2 linked regions of the Lonchura striata genome follow. The protein of the gene in region 1 interacts with the protein of each later gene in a biochemical or structural test. Links are inferred from orthologs where the notes say so. Each region holds a gene or a part of one and is shown on either strand. Other genes may lie near its edges.

Region 1 (7,926 bases):
TACGTTGTCCCTGGAACCTGAAAGCAGCACCTCTGGGAAAAGTGGACTACCCTACATTTAAAAGAAAGCACAACTGGAAAAACTCCCTGGGATCTTCCCTTTGTGGAAAATAAAAAGTGGAAGGGGGAATAGACAAAAGAAATAGAAAAGGTTTATCATTTAATGTAGGAATCAATTGATGGTTCATATCAATCCAAAGACAAATCTTACGGCTTTTCCATTTTTCATTCTGCCTTGGAAAAGCCCCCACAGGGAAAAAGCCGGGGCAAGGAGGAGATTTTCTCCCCAGGTACTCTGTAAATGAAGTCCTTTAAATTGATCTCTTACTGGGAACCCCCAGCTCCCGTTTGTGAGGAGTGGGACTTGAGTACATCAATGTTCTCTTGCTTTTGATTGTTTCTAACTCTTCCTCTTGTTCACAAAAAGTGAGCTGACACACAGAGAACATTTGGCATAAAGTACCTGAAAACCAGATCCTGCTGTTAAAAAACTAGAAATACAGAATGAAATAATTAGCACTTATCATCTAACATCATGCTGGATTTAATAAACCTATTAGTGATTAAAAAATGAACCTAGTAGCAATAACTAATGGAAAATATTTTATCCAAGACTTCAAAAGACTCATGGAGAATTTGTAATTGTAGGATGATTCCTCTTGAGTAACTGCACTGGAAACTTTTACTGCGTGATTATTATGGGAATAATCCTCGTCAAAAAGCTTGTAAAAGAAACACAGATTCTGAATATCAAATAGACACAATTACTGATTCACTATTAGGCTACTGAAAAGGGCTAGGAAAGATATTCAACTCCACTCTGAGCAGATTACATTTAAAAAAACCTGAAGTTGTCCTCACCAATCAAGGTGAAAAAAAGTATTAATTTTACTTTTCATTATTTGGTCCACCTTTGTACAAGACAGATTTTTCATTCTACTTTTAATTTTTTCTTGTTTTTACAATAAAATTGTTTTCAAAATTCATTTTATTAGCCATTACTATAAGGAGGAGATTACACTAAAAGTAATTGAAACAATGCCTAAATTTATCAACTTAGAAATGGACTTACGGTTATTTTAAAAGTTCACAAAAGAGTCAGATTCAAAAGCACTGCTGATAAGGGGTGCATTTATCAGTCCCATAAGGAAGGTTAAAAGGCTTAGCTTCAATATCCTTCAACTAAATTCTAATATATCACCGCCTTCATTTCAGGATTCATTATACAAAACAAATTTATATCAGAAAAATGTATTAGTTGTATATTCTGTGTTCTAATGGAAGTTTCATTGAATGCTGATGTTAAATACATTGCATTATCCAGGATTTTGGCATTTCTAAGAAACACAGACCATCTTAAGGCTGTTTAGAAGTACAGAATCTCTGAACCACTACAAGTTAGTGAGATATTTTACAAAACTGATGCCTAAAAACATTCAAATTCAAAAGCTGCCTGTGTAAAAATACCTTATATTATATTTCTGATTGGTTATCATTCAAAGTCAGTGCCAACTATTTTTTTTCAGCTCTCTCTCCCCTTGACAAGCCCATGCTTATATTGTGCCACATGCCTTAACACACTGCTAGGAGTGATTTCTTGTAATCTCATAATTAAATCTCTCAGCAATTTTTGCAGCAATTTTTTTTTTTTGTGACAGCCAAAGTGAATAATGATGTCAAACACATCACTTGATGCACCAAATTCTGCTATTAAGGAGAGCACACCATATGAAACTTCTTTTCAAAGGCGAGCACTCAGTATCATGTCACAATTGCTTGGTGTACACTGGGAATTTTTGGTTAACTAGTAACAAATCATAGTAACCTTTTAAAAGGTAAATTACTTATTAAATGATAGACTAATTGCTACCAGAAAATAGATATTTTTAAATGGAACATTGTAACAGTGCTCTACAGCAAAAGCTTGTTCACAGATGGGACAGCAAGTCACAAATCTAAATCCAAACCCCTGGTTATTTCAAGGAGAATTAAAACCAATCCATCTGATTTAAAGGAACCTAAACTCCAAAGGACATCCAGAAATTGGTAATTCCCTGAGCTTTTGATCACAAGAAATACCAGCCTTACATCACTAATATTAATGAACGCATCCCTGTTAAGTCAGCATAGTATTGTCGTGTGTACACGGGGCCACAAAGTTACAACACCACAGGAACTTGCACTCTCTAGCTGCAGAATACCCTGGGGAGAAATGACACCAGGAAGATTACAAAACGCTCCTGCGAACCTGAGGCATGCCATCAAGACACAATATATTTCAACATAGCATCTCAGTTGTTGCAGGCTGTGAGAGGCTCCCCGACTTTCTGCGATTGGGAAATTGAGGGGGGAAAAAAAAAGGTGCTGTTCATTCATTACGAGAGCAGCCAGGTGAGCTCAGCACTGCCCTGGCGGAGCTTCCCGCACGGGCGGCAGGGATGGACGGCGCGCAGCGCATCCACCCATCCATCCGCGCTCCCCATCACCTCCGGCTCTGCGGGCGGGACATCGCCCCTCCGCCGCCGAGCATCCTCCGCCGCCACCCGCTGCAGCACCATGGACACAGCGCCCGGGCTGCCCCGGCCGGAGCGCGGCACGTCGTCACCCCGCATCCCGCATCCCGGCACCCCCGCACCCCGCACCCCGGCATCCCGGCACCCCGCACCCCGCATCCCGGCACCCCCGCACCCCGCATCCCGGCACCCCCGCACCCCGCACCCCGGCACTCCGCACCCCGCATCCCGCACCCCGGCACCCCGCACCCCGCACTCCGGCACTCCGGCACCCCGCACCCCGGCACACCGCACTCCGGCACTCCGGCACCCCGCACCCCGCACCCCGCACCCCGGCACTCCGCACCCAGGCATCCCCGCACCCCGCACCCCGGCGGCCCTGCCCGCGCTGCCCGCGCTGCCCGCGGCTCCCTGAGCCCCGCGCCGCCCTCACCTCGGGGCCGGTGCCCGCAGCCGCACTGCCCCGGCGCTGTCAGTTCTCAGCGGGAGCTGCCGTTCCCTTCCAGCGGGATAAACTCCCCCGCTCGGCCCGGCCTCCCGGGCAGGGCCCGCCTCCCCCCGGCGCCGCCTCCGCCGGCCCACGGCGAGCGGGGCCGGGCAGGGAAAGGGACGGGGAGCGGATGGGGATGGGGACCGGGGGCGGCCGCAGGGATGGCGCAGAGGAGCGGGCCGGGAGAGGCAGCGGGGCAGTGAGAGGAGGAGGAGGAGGAGCCGCTCGTGCCCCGCTGTCCCCTCAGGCCGCCCGGCCGGCCCGGCCCGGCCGCGGAGCCGGAGCAGCCGCGTGTGGCCGAGGGCAGAGCGCGGCCCCGCAGCGCAGCTGGAGTTTGATCTCTGCTCCCCGTAATCTCCCGTAACTGAAAATTCACTTTTTCCGCCTGCCGGCTGCTTTCTCTTTTGCCTTGCCATGCTGCAGCCAGCTCCGCTCTGCGCTGCCTGCTTGGCTGGGTCGCCTCACGTCAGGCTGTGTCCTGCTGTGACAGGAGTAAAGGCTTTTCTGAAAAGGTTCTTAGCACTAACGGAGGTAAAGCGAATTCTTTTTCACTTTTTTTTCTTTCTTTTTTTTTTTTTTTTTTTTTCGCTTGAGATTATCTCTGGGCGCTCTTCCCCCCTCCCAGGAATGCAGAGCCGAGCGCTATAGGCTGTGCTCGGTACCTCTCCAGAGGCAGCAAGCCCAAACAAGCTTGTCACCTCCTCTATCTCAGCCTCTGAGGCTTTGAAAAAGAAGTTAGATGTGGAAAAAAAAGGCATAAGATCAACAGGCTTTAGAGAGTCATCCTGGAACTCCAGGTGCCCCGGGATACAACAGTTTATCTTGAAAAACTCCTGATCCCTTGGACATCACTGGAAGGCTGAGAGGATCCCAAATTTGCCTCATTATTCTTAGTCATCAAGCATTTTGAAAGAGAGCCCACATTTGCTTTATTATTTGTATACTGAAGGCAATTTATAGATTAGGGTTGAACACGTCAAAATACCTGGACTACCTACAGATACTAACTTTGCCTCCAGCCTTTTGTTTATGAGAACAATCTCTCTGTCTGCAGAGGCTTGAAGCCTTGTCTTAATTTTTATGAGAATTATCTGTCTATTTGTATAGGCTTGAGGTGTTACCTCTGTCTTGACAGATCAAGGATTTTTTCTTTCAATTCCTGCTTTTTCCCTTTCATCTGAATTTTTTTTCGCCTTGGAAATGTGGAAATATTTTTTTTAAGTGGTTCTTTTTTATTGTTTGGGTTGGGTATTTTAAAAATTATTTTAACATACTGCAGTAATAACCTATTCCAGTAATACCCTGGCTCAGAATTAGAAGCCAGGTCCTGCAAACAAGTAAAACAAACCCTCAGAATTACCATGGATGAACAAAGAGGCAAATGTGGGCAAAACAATCTTAACAAAGAGGTTTAAAATACCTTGGTTACTAGTATTTTTACCACTGTACTGCAAGAGCTGAAGTAGAATTTCAACAGAAAATTAAAAGGAGAAGGATCTGAGCTGGACCCTCACAGAGTTCTGATTTAGCCCTGGTGAGAACAGAACTGCTGCTCTGCTGCTGGAGAATTCCCCATTTAGCTTAAATGTCTGAAAAAAGGGGATCCCTCCCCAAAAATCAAACCTTTGGGATCCCTCCCTAAAATTTAACCTGCAAACGTTTTCAAACTCCGCTCAACTGGAAGCATTCCAAAAATTGGAAGGTATTGATAACATCCAGTTGGAACTGTGCAGTCCTGCTTTGAGCCCAGGCTTTTAATAAAGGCAGAAATACAAAGCACAGTTTGGATTTTTATTAAATTGTATGGGTGAGACAGATATCTCTAAGTCAGTCCAGAGAAACCAGCCAAACACAGCTTTCACAGGAATATTACAAATACACTATCAGTCTATTTTTGTTCTAAGCATTATTTTCTTTACTGAGTTCACCTTTTGAACAGAACTCATAAAGCAAAACCAGAACGATAACTTACGTAAAAATTACTTAGATTTTGTAAATATGCATTTTAGCAGATTGAGACAGGAAAGGAAAAGATCCTTTAGTCTGATTTCCTGCTTAACACGGATTTCTAGTTAGGATTTAATATCTCATTAAATGTTTCTTTTGGACAGCTAATCTTAGTTTGAAGAATGACAAGATGAAGAGCCCATACATTTTCTCTGGTAATTAAAAGTATGCCTTATTTATAATTTGAATTAATCTGTTTTTTGTTTTTTGTTTTTCTTTTTTTCCTTAACAAAGAGTGGATTTTTTTTTTTTTTTTCTCAGAGAAAGCCAATCATTTCTGTATTGGTAAAGAAATACTACAGACTACAAATATATTATCTATTCTGTAATCAAGTTGCTTTATACTGTAATGAAATGGTCATAATAAAGACATTTATCAGCTTCTCATAAGTTTTTGTTTGCATTGTTTGACTGTGCAGTTTTTGATGATCCAGACTTTCTCCCCTCCTTATCTGTGAGGATTCCTAAGCTTGGCTGGGAGCTCTCAGAGTTATGAAACAAGAGTGAAATGTCAGGCTCAGGCCTTGCTGATCCATGGGCAGTTCTCCCCTAAGTTCAAAGAGAAGCAGAAAAGACTCTCTCAGCATCAGTTCTGGTTTTAAAATTAGAAGATAATTTGCCTTCACACAAGATCAATTATACTCTGTTTTTCTTGTTGGGTATAAAGGCATCAGTTAATTCCTTTCATCTGAAAGAACTGCATTTTAAACTAACTTTAATCAGCCCATTTTTCGTGGTGAGTCTTTTTGAAGCATTTATTGCATCTGAAAAAAATTATTTCTGCTTGCAGTTATGACTGACTGACTGTACATTATGTGTTTCAATTATTCAGAAAATTCGAAGTAGATGAAATTGAATCATATGGCAAAAATAGTTCTCACTGAGATGAGAAACTGAAATGAGTACTCTGTGGAATCTCCAGATGGATAAGGGTGTTAGCAATGACAAAATAACCTCCCCTGAGTGGTTTCATTTCTCTTTTCCATCTTGGTGAAGGAATTTCTGTGCAACAATTTCTAAGGAATTCCAGGTAGGTGTTTATGGCTAGAAAAACTAATTTATTGGAGGTGATGCTGTGAGTTTTACAATTGGCTTGAAAAGAGTGGCAGCCTTGCAAGGATTTCTACTCCTTCCCATCTCTGCAAAGACACAAATTCCTTCTTTTACTGACTTTTTATGTTTCCCCTGGGTTTGGGCTCAGTCTCTGGCTGCATTACTCAAGTTTAAAATCTTGCAGTGTGTCCTATGCTGGTGCTGTGGGATGGAATGGAGAAGTAGCCAAACCTTTAACATCTAGAGGGCAATCTCCTGCTCTGAGAGTGCAGCCAGAAGTCTGACAGCCTGAGCAGCAAGTTCTGATTGTGCAAATTGCATTGCTTTAAAGGAATGGAGTTTAAAAAGGTTAAAAATGTCCTGTATTGCTGCCTTTTTTTAAAGTTACCCCGTGTTCTTTCTCTTGGGCAATGCAATATTTTAATTCATATATCTGGTGTCCTTTTATTGATAAAAAAGCATATCTTATTTGCCTCAGCATATCTCATTCTGTCTTTACTGGCAGCTTTTGGTCTGGCAAGGCATGTTTTTAAAAAGTAAGTCATAATATCACACCACACTCCTATCTACAGCTTGCACACTCTTTACTTGAAGGGAATTCAGAGTTTCAGCTGCTATCAGTAGCATTTTACACAGATATATGGCAAAACCTGGGGTATAAACTGCATTCCTTGAGTACAGGATTGTGCTGGGTGAGTTTCTCCCGGGATCCAGCAGGAGGGATAGAGGCAGGCACGATGCAGATTTTTCACAGATAACTGCAGAGCGGGTCAAAACAAGAACCCCTTAAAAATGAGCCTCCTTTGCCTGAACTTCGAGGCTTGGATAAAAAGAGAAAAAAATCCAAACCTTGTCTGCTTTAAATTCATGAAAGCCAAGATCACACCAGCCTGCCTACCTCTAAATTGTAATGGTTTTCTTCCTGACCTCCAGACTCCCCCCAACTCTTAACTTTGATTTCATCTTGGAGGGAATAACTTCCTCTCTAGGACTGTCTGGCTCTTCTGTGGTTGAATATGATATTGCATTCTGATTAAATGGGCCCCAATTGCACATCACAGACAGTTAGCAGGTAAAAGAAAATATAGGAATAAGGAGCTCAAGCACATACTGGTATCTGTCAGATGTTAATCCATCCAAAATTCATTTCTGAAGGAATCCTTTTAAAGCAACCAAGAGATCATTTTGAGCCTCATTTAGAACCAGTTTATCCAAATTTCTTGGGTGATTGAGCTAAGACAGATTTATGAACGTAACTTAACTTCAGAAATCCAGATTTCTACAATTATACATGCTTAGACATCTGAAATGAGGAGCTGATGCAACCAAGGCTCGGGGTTGTGCTAATCTGAGATGGGAAGGAGGTGGCTGGGTTGTGGTTAAAGCATGGGACTGAGCTGCTGAGAGGTCTTGCTTCTATTCCTGGTTGTGTCACTGACTTCCTGTGGGTCACTGGAGTCACTGAGCTCTGTCTCATTTTACTAATTTATAAAAAAGAAATTATGTTGCATTGCTAAAGCACTGTGAGACAAGTCATTGCTGTCTGTACAATAGTTTTATGCTCATAAGAGATATTTGTGTCAGCAGATCACAACCATATTCCTAAAGTAACTCCTTTTGGATAATTTGCTGTTATAATACAGCAATTCAATGATTCTAGTAAAAAACTAAAACCTCAAAAATATAGATTTAACTTAAAATGTCTGGAGAAATTTGCTTCCAGGTTTCAATTAAACATTTGCTCATGAGGAGGACTCTGTTTTCCTTGTAAGAGTATGAGAAAGGTGCTCCCTCATAATTGTGAAAAAAATAATTAATACCCCGACCCCCCATTATTTCTTTTGGTGGACTGCTCATTTTACTC
Region 2 (8,020 bases), on another chromosome or scaffold:
GGGGCAGGAACAGGAAATCAATGGGAACTGAAGCTCCAGGGACCCCAGATCACCCCCAGCCCCCCAAAACCACCCCGCAGCCCCCCGAAGCCCACCCTGGTGGGGCAGGTAGCGGAAGTCGAGCGGCGCGCTGCGCTGCCGGTCCGAGGGCCGCTGCAGCTCCATGCGCACGGTGACGGGCGCGCGCAGCGCGGGGTCCCGGAACGGCGGCGTGCGGAACACGATGGCGACCTGGCGGTGAACGTCGGCCTGCGCGAAGGAGCCCTTGGCCTCCCAGCCCTCGGCCGAGAAACGCACCTCGATGTCCTCTGCGGGCACGGGGACACAGTGGGGACACGCGGGGGACACGGACACGGGGACATGGGCATGGACATGGGGACAGAGACACGGGGACGCTGCAGGGACAGGGACACGGGGACAGGGATGGGGACATGGACACAGGAACATGGGCATGGACATGGACATGGGGATGGGGACATGCTGGGGACACCCCGGGGACACCACAGGGACACGGGGACACGGACATGGGGACAGGGACATGGGGGCAGAGACACAGGGATGGGGACAGGGACACGGACACGGGGACAGGGACAGGGACACGGGGACAGGGACAGGTGACAGCGACAGGAACAAAGCCGGGGGACACAGACACCGATATCGCCCTGTTTGGGACATCCCAGCTTTGGGGTGTCCCAGGTTTTGGGGTGTCCCAGGTTTTGGGGTGTCCGAGGTTTGGGGTGTCCCAGCTTTGGGGTGTCCCGGGTTTGGGGTGTCCCGTTTTTCGGCTGTCCCATTTTTGGGGTGCCCCATTTTTGGGGTGCCCCGTTTCGGGCTGTCCCCGTTTTCAGGGTGCCCCGTTTTCAGGGTGCCCCGTTTTTGGGGTGCCCCGTTTCGGGCTGTCCCCATCCCGGGGTGCCCCCTGACCTTTCTGGACCTTGTCACACAGCAGGAAGATCTCGTCCCCGCCCCGGCAGCTCCCGGAGTTGCGGTTCACGCGGCAGATCCGGAGCTCGGCCGTGCTGGGGGCACCTGGGGACAGCGCGGGGCCGCCGTGGGTCCCGGGCCACCCTCGGGTGTCCCCAGGTGTCCCTTGGGTGTCCCAGGGACGTCCCAGGGATGTCCCACATGGGTCTCAGGGATGTCCCCCAGGTGTCCCCAGTGTCCCCAGCTGTCCCCTGGTGTCCCTCAGCTGTCCCCAATGTCCCCCAGGTGTCCCCAATGTCCCCCCGGTGTCCCAGGTGTCACTCAGGTGTCCCCAGGTGTCCCAGGTGTCCCCAGCTGTCCCCGTGTCCCCGTGTCCCACTCACGGTTGTCGTAGATGGGCTGGGACAGGACGGGGGGGAGGGGCTGCAGCCCCCCCGGGCCCCTCACCCACACCTGGAAGCAGAGCCGGACCGCGGCCAGGTCGTACTCGCCCCCGCGCTGCTCCGCCGGCACTGCCCGGTGCAGACCAGTGAGAACCGGTATAAACCAGTACAGACCAGTATAAACCAGTACAGACCAGTACAGACCAGTGTAAACCAGTATAGACCAGTATATACCAGTACAAACCACTAACATACCCAGGTACCCCCAGTGACACCCCCAGGTCATACTCGCCCCTGCGCTGCTCCCCTGGCACTGCCCAGTACAGACCAGTACAGACCAGTGACGCCCCCAGCACTGTCCTCAGTGACCTCCCAGTAATACCCAATCACTCCCAGTTCCCTCCCAGTAACTCCCAGTCCCTCCCAGTTCCCTCCCAGTCCCTCCCAGTTCCCTCCCAGTTGCTCCCAGTTCCCTCCCAGTCCCTCCCAGTCACTCCCAGTTCCCTCCCAATCGCTCCCAGTTCCCTCCCAGTCCTTCCCAGTTCCCCCCCAGTTCCCTCCCAGTCCCTCCCAGTCCCTCCCAGTCACTCCCAGTTCCCTCCCAATCGCTCCCAGTTCCCTCCCAGTCCTTCCCAGTTCCCTCCCAGTTCCCCCCAGTTCCCTCCCAGTCCCTCCCAGTCCCTCCCAGTTCCCTCCCAGTTCCCCCCAGTTCCCTCCCAGTCCCTCCCAGTTCCCCCCCAGTTCCCTCCCAGTCCCTCCCAGTCCCTCCCAGTTCCCCCCCAGTTCCCTCCCAGTTCCCTCCCAGTTCCCCCCAGTTCCCTCCCAGTCCCTCCCAGTCTCTCCCAGTGCTCCCAGTACCGTTGAAGGGGTTGTTGTTGGTGCGGATCCGCTCGGCCACGGCCGCCTCCAGCTCCCGCTTCTTCACGCACTGGATCCCCAAATTCTGGAAACTGCCCCCAAAACTGGGCTGGCTCAGGGCTCCACCTGGATTTTGGGATCCCCCCGAACATTCCGGGGCAGGGATCCCGAATTTTGGGGGTTCCCAGGACTCTTGGCAGGGTCCCGTATTTTGGGCGTCGCCCCCCGTTTTTGGGTGGTCCCACCCGCCCCGGAGGGAGATCCCCAGTATTTTGGGAGATACCACCTGCTCTTCTGGGGGGGTTCCCAAATCTTGGGTGCTCCCACCGCCCCATGGGGGTGTCTCCCGGTTTTGGGGGTGTCCCTGATTTTGGGGGACATCCCAGTTTTGGGGTGTGCCCCCAGCCTGAGGGATGTCCACAGTTTTTGGGGGATGTCCCCGGTTTTTGGGGGGCTGACCCGGGTTTTGGGGCTGTCCCAGTTTTTGGGGGGGGGGATATCCCGTTTTTTTGGGGGATATCCCAGTTTTTGGGGGATGTCCTGGATTTTGGAGCTGTCCCCGGATTTTGGGGTTCTCCCCGGTTTTTGGGGATGTCCCAGTTTTTGGGGGAGGATATCCCGGATTTCAGAATTGTGCCGGATTTTGGGGTTGTCCCAGATTTCGGGGCTGTCCCAAATTTCAGGGTTGTCCCTGGTTTTAGGGATATCCCAGTTTTTGGCGGGGGATGTCCCAGTTTTTGGGTGATATCCCGATTTCGGGGTCCCGTCCTGGTCTGGGTTCCTGTCCCGGATTTCGGGGCTGTCCCGATTTTGGGGTCCCATCCCGATTTCGGGGCTGTCCCGGTTTTTGGGGGGGACATCCGGGTTGGGGTCCCACCTGTGCACGCTGCGCTCGGGGCTCAGCTCGGCCTCGTAGAAGCCGTCCCGGCAGTCCTTGCCCACCAGCTCGTGGGGGTGCGGGCGGTGCGGGGGGTCCTTGGTCACCAGCGACACCCGCACGCGCCCCGGGCCCCGGTAGTTGTTCACCTGCGGGACCGGTTTGGACTGGTCAGCACTGGTTTGGACTGGTCAGCACTGGTCTGAGCTGGGGGGCTCACGGGGATGCTGCAGTGGGGCTGGGGGAGAGGGTGCTGAGCCCCCCCGGCCAGGGATGGGAGAGCCGGGGAGATCAGGGGGGGTCCCAGGCTGTTACTGGTCCATATTGGGATGTACTGGGACACTCACGCGGATGGTGGGGCGCACTGGGGGGGCTCAGGGGGGCACTGGGTGGTTACTGGTCATTACTGGTTTGTACTGGGACACTCACACGGATGGTGGGGTGCCTCCGGGTGCTCTCGCTGCTGTGCTCCCTGGGGCTGGGGGCACTGGGGGGGCTCTGGGGGGCTCTGGGGGGGCACTGAGGGGTCCCAGGCTGTTACTGGTCCATACTGGTTTGTACTGGGACACTCACGCGGATGGTGGGGTGCGTCCGGGTGCTCTCGCTGCTGTGCTCCCCGGGGCTGGGGGCACTGGGGGGGCTCTGGGGGGCTCTGGGGGGGCACTGAGGGGTCCCAGGCTGTTACTGGTCCATACTGGTTTGTACTGGGACACTCACGCGGATGGTGGGGTGCGTCCGGGTGCTCTCGCTGCTGTGCTCCCTGGGGCTGGGGGCACTGGGGGGGCACTGGGGGGGCACTGAGGGGTCCCAGGCTGTTACTGGTCCATACTGGTTTGTACTGGGACACTCACGCGGATGGTGGGGTGCGTCCGGGTGCTCTCGCTGCTGTGCTCCCCGGGGATGCTCCCGGCCGAGCGCCCCTCGCACTTGTAGCGGAACCTCATCCCGCGCTGCCGCGGCTGCTCCAGGATCTCCACGAACGGCGCCGCCCCCCCCGCCTCTGGGGGGGCACGGGGGTCCCGGGGGGTCCCGTCAGCCCCTCCGCACCCCCCCCCCACCCCCGGGACCCCCGGGGGACCCCCCCCCGCCCACCCGGCCCCACTCACCTGGAGCGCCCCAGTCCTGCAGCAGGAAGGGCAGGAGGTCTGGGGGGGTCACTGGGGGGCAAAGGGGAGGGGGTCGATTTAATGGGGGGGGTCGCATTAATGGGGGGGGTCGCATTAATGGGGGGGTCACATTAATGGGGGGATTCACATTAATGGGGGGTCGCATTAATGGGGGGGTCGCATTAGTGGGGGGGTCGCATTAATGGGGGGGTCACATTAATGGGGGGTCACATTAATGAAGGGGGTCGCATTAATGGGGGGGTGGCATTAATGGGGGGGTCGCATTAATGGGGGGGTCGCATTAATGGGGGGGGTCGCATTAATGGGGGGGTGGCATTAATGGGGGGGTGGCATTAATGGGGGGGGTCGCATTAATGGGGGGGTCACCTAAAGGAGGGGTCACATAAGGGGGTGTCACATTAAGGGGGGTTCGCATTAACGGGAGGGGTCACTTTAACGGGGGCGGGGGTCTTCCCCCAAAACCCCCTCCCCCTTTAAACCCGCCCCCCCCCCCTTAAAGGGCCCGCACCCTCCGCTCACCCCGCGACGTCACTCGGGGCGGAACGGTCCCAAAACCGCCGCGGGGGGGGTCAGCACTCACCGTCCTCCATGGCGGGGGTCGGGGGGTCCCGGGGGTCCCGGGGGGGTCCCGGGGGGGTCCCGGGGGCAGCGGGAAGGGCGGGGGGGGGGCCCCGCTCGCGCCGCCGCTGGCGGAAGCGCCGCGCCCCACGTGACGCGGCTGCCGGGAAAGCCCCGCCCCCTCCCGCGAGCGCTCCCGCCAACCGGGGGGCGGGGCGCAGGCGCGGAGGGGGCGGGGCCGCGTCCCGGAAGCGCGTCGGGCCGGCCGGAAGCGAAGGCCGGGAGGAGAATGGCGGAGGTGGGGAGCGGGCGGGGGGGGGCAGCGCGGAGGGGGCTCGGGGAGCCGCCCGAGGGGCTCCGGGAGCCTCCGGACGGGTTCGGGGACCCCCCGAACCCCCCGCGGGGGTTTTGGGGCCCCGCCGGCCCTGACGAGGCCCCGCCCCCGCAGGGGGAGGTGTCCGAGGGCTGCCGCCTGCCCGTGCTGCGCCGGAACCAGGACAACGAGGATGAGTGGCGTGAGCGGGGCGGGGCTCAGCGCGGGGGCAGCCAATCAGGGCGCGGGGGCGGGGCTAAGGGAAAGGGCGGGAAGCGGCGGGGGCGGGGCCTCCTGAGGGGGCGGGGCCTGGCCCGGGGGGGTCGGGGGTCCTGGGGGGTTTGGGGTTCATGAGGGGGTCCTGGGGGGTTTGGGGTTCATGAGGGGGTCCCGGGGGAATTTGGGATCCCTGAGGGGGTCACTGGGTGGGTTGGGGTCCCTGAGGGGATCCCTGGGTGGGTTTGGGGGTCCCTGGGTGGGTTTGGGGGTCCCTGGGTGGGTTTAGGGTCCCTGAGGGGGTCCCTGGGGGGTTTGGGGGTCCCAGGAGGGTTTGGCAGTCCTAAGTGGGTTTGGGGGTCCCTGGGTGGGTCTGGGGGTCCCTGAAGGGATCCCTGGGTGGGTTTGGAGTGCCTGGGTGGATGTTGGGGGTCCCAGGGGGGTTTGGGGGTCCCAGGGGGGTTTGGGGGTCCCAGGAGGGGCTGTGTGGTGACCCCCACCCCCCCGGTTTCAGCGCTGGCCGAGATCCTGAGCGTGAAGGACATCAGCGGCAGGAAACTCTTCTACGTGCACTACATCGACTGTGAGCGCGACACGGACACGGGACACGGGGACAGGGACACGGGGGGACACGGGGACGGGGACACAGACACGGGACAGGGACACAGACACGGGGACACGGGGGGACACGGGGACAGGGACACAGGGACATGGGGGACACTGGGATGGACACTGGGGTGGCACTGGGATGGACACTGGGATGGGCACTGGGGTGGTCACTGGGGTGGCATTGGGGTGGACACTGGGATGGACACTGGGGTGGCATTCTGGTGGACACTGGGGTGGCATTGGGGTGGACGCTGGGCTGGCAATGGGCTGGCACTGGCCTGGCACTGCCACCCCCCGTGCCAGCCCGCCATGTCCCCGCTGTCCCCAGTTAACAAGCGCCTGGACGAGTGGGTGACCCACGACCGGCTGGACCTCAAGAGGGTCCAGGTGCCCCGCAAGGAGGCCAAGACGCCCACCAAGAACGGCCTGCCCGGCTCCCGGCCCGGCTCCCCCGACAGGGACCCGGTGAGCCCCGGGACACGGGGACACGGGGGGACCTGGGGGGACACCTGGAGGGGACACAGAGACCTGGTGATGGATACGGGGACATGGGGGGACACTGGGGACACTTGGTGACACGGGGAGGGGATGGGGGGAAACGGGGGATGAGGAACAGCGGGAGGTCGGGTGACATTGAGGGGACACCGGACGGACAGAGGGGTCTGGGGACAGGGGACACGGAAGGGACAGGGCTGAGGAGGGGGTGGGACAGGGACAGAGTTTGGGGACACGGGCGAGGGACACCAAGGGACAGGGCAAGGACAGGGGCCAGCCTCGGGGACCGAGCACTGAGGGGACACACGGGGGGGACACGGGACAGGGGACACGTGGAGCCGCTGGGGACAGACCTGGAGTCCCCAAACCCCCTGGTGACGGGGACACTCGCCCCCCACAGCAGGGACGTCCCCTGGGGGGTGGTGACATCCCCAGGACACACCCAGGGGCCACCCCGGACCCTTGGGGACATCCCCAGCCCCTTTAGGGGACCCTGGGGACATTTCTGACCCCTTTAAGGGACCTTGGGGACACCCTCGACCCCTTGGGGACACCTGCAGCTCCTGTAGGGGACCTTGGGGACATCCCCAGGCACTCTCTGGGGACCTTGGGGACATCTCTGACCCCTTGGGGCCACCCCTGACCCCTCTAAGGGGACCCTGGGGCCACCCCTGACCCCTTGGGGACACCCCTGACCCCTTGGGGACACCCTTGACCCCTCTAAGGGGACCCTGGGGACACCCCTGACCCCTTGGGGACACCCCTGACCCCTTGGGGACACCCTTGACCCCTCTAAGGGGACCCTGGGGACACCCCTGACCCCTTGGGGACACCCCTGACCCCTCTAAGGGGACCTTGGGGCCACCCCCGACCCCTGGATGCCACCCTGTCCCCCTTCAGGAGCCCTTGGGGCCACCAAGGGCCGTCCCCGGGAGGGGTCCCGGGGTGGCGGGAGGGTCCCCGAGCCGCGGTGGCTCCGTCCCCTGCGCGTGCCCCTAAACCCTCCTCTTCCTCCCGGCGCAGAGGAAGAGCCTGGAGCTGGCGCTGCCGGTGGCCCCCGCCAGCGGGAAGAGTTTGCCGGGGCCACCGGGGCCAGCGGCGGGGCCACCGGGGCCAGCGGGGCCAGCGGGGCCAGCGGGGCCAGCGGGGCCGGGGCCCATCACGCTCCGCTTGCACCTGCCCAAGGAGAGCGAGGCCGAGCCCCCCCAGCGCCCCACGGTAACCCCCGATGGCCCCGGCGGCCCCAGGGTCCCCAAATGTCCCCAAACGGCCCCAGGGTCCCCAAATGTCACCAGGGTCACCAAATGTCACCAGGGTCACCAAATGTCACCAGGGTCCCCAAATGTCCCCAAACGGCCCCAGGGTCCCCAAATGTCACCAGGGTCCCCAAATGTCACCCAGGTCCCCGAACGTCCCCAGGATCCCCAATGGCCCCAAATTTCACCAAATGTCCTCAATGGCCCCAAATGTCCCCAAATATCCCAAATGTCCCCAAATGTCCCCAGGGTCCCCAGCTGGCACCAAAAGTGGCCCCGGAGGTGGTCCCTGGCAGGTCCCGGTTTTGTCACCCTGTCCCTGTCCCCGGGGTGTCCCCTGAGCCTCCCCTTCCTCGGGCCTACTGGGATGGACTGGGGGGGACTGGGATGGACTGGGATGTTCT

What was found.
Region 2: the proteins of PPARG (region 1) and KAT5 form a complex in vitro, tested with the Homo sapiens proteins (2 studies listed by BioGRID, with this or other methods). The link is inferred for Lonchura striata from reciprocal best matches to the Homo sapiens genes PPARG and KAT5.

What each region holds. Positions count from the first base shown.
Region 1 is NC_134614.1:4,878,629-4,886,554, forward strand, and holds the start of PPARG (peroxisome proliferator-activated receptor gamma), read right to left. Parts: upstream 3,013-7,926; 5' UTR 2,946-3,012; intron 1-2,945. UniProt on the Homo sapiens protein: Nuclear receptor that binds peroxisome proliferators such as hypolipidemic drugs and fatty acids.
Region 2 is NC_134638.1:281,761-289,780, forward strand, and holds the start of KAT5 (histone acetyltransferase KAT5), read left to right. Parts: upstream 1-4,974; 5' UTR 4,975-5,016; coding exon 5,017-5,025; intron 5,026-5,175; coding exon 5,176-5,242; intron 5,243-5,770; coding exon 5,771-5,839; intron 5,840-6,193; coding exon 6,194-6,330; intron 6,331-8,020. UniProt on the Homo sapiens protein: Catalytic subunit of the NuA4 histone acetyltransferase complex, a multiprotein complex involved in transcriptional activation of select genes principally by acetylation of nucleosomal histones H2A and H4.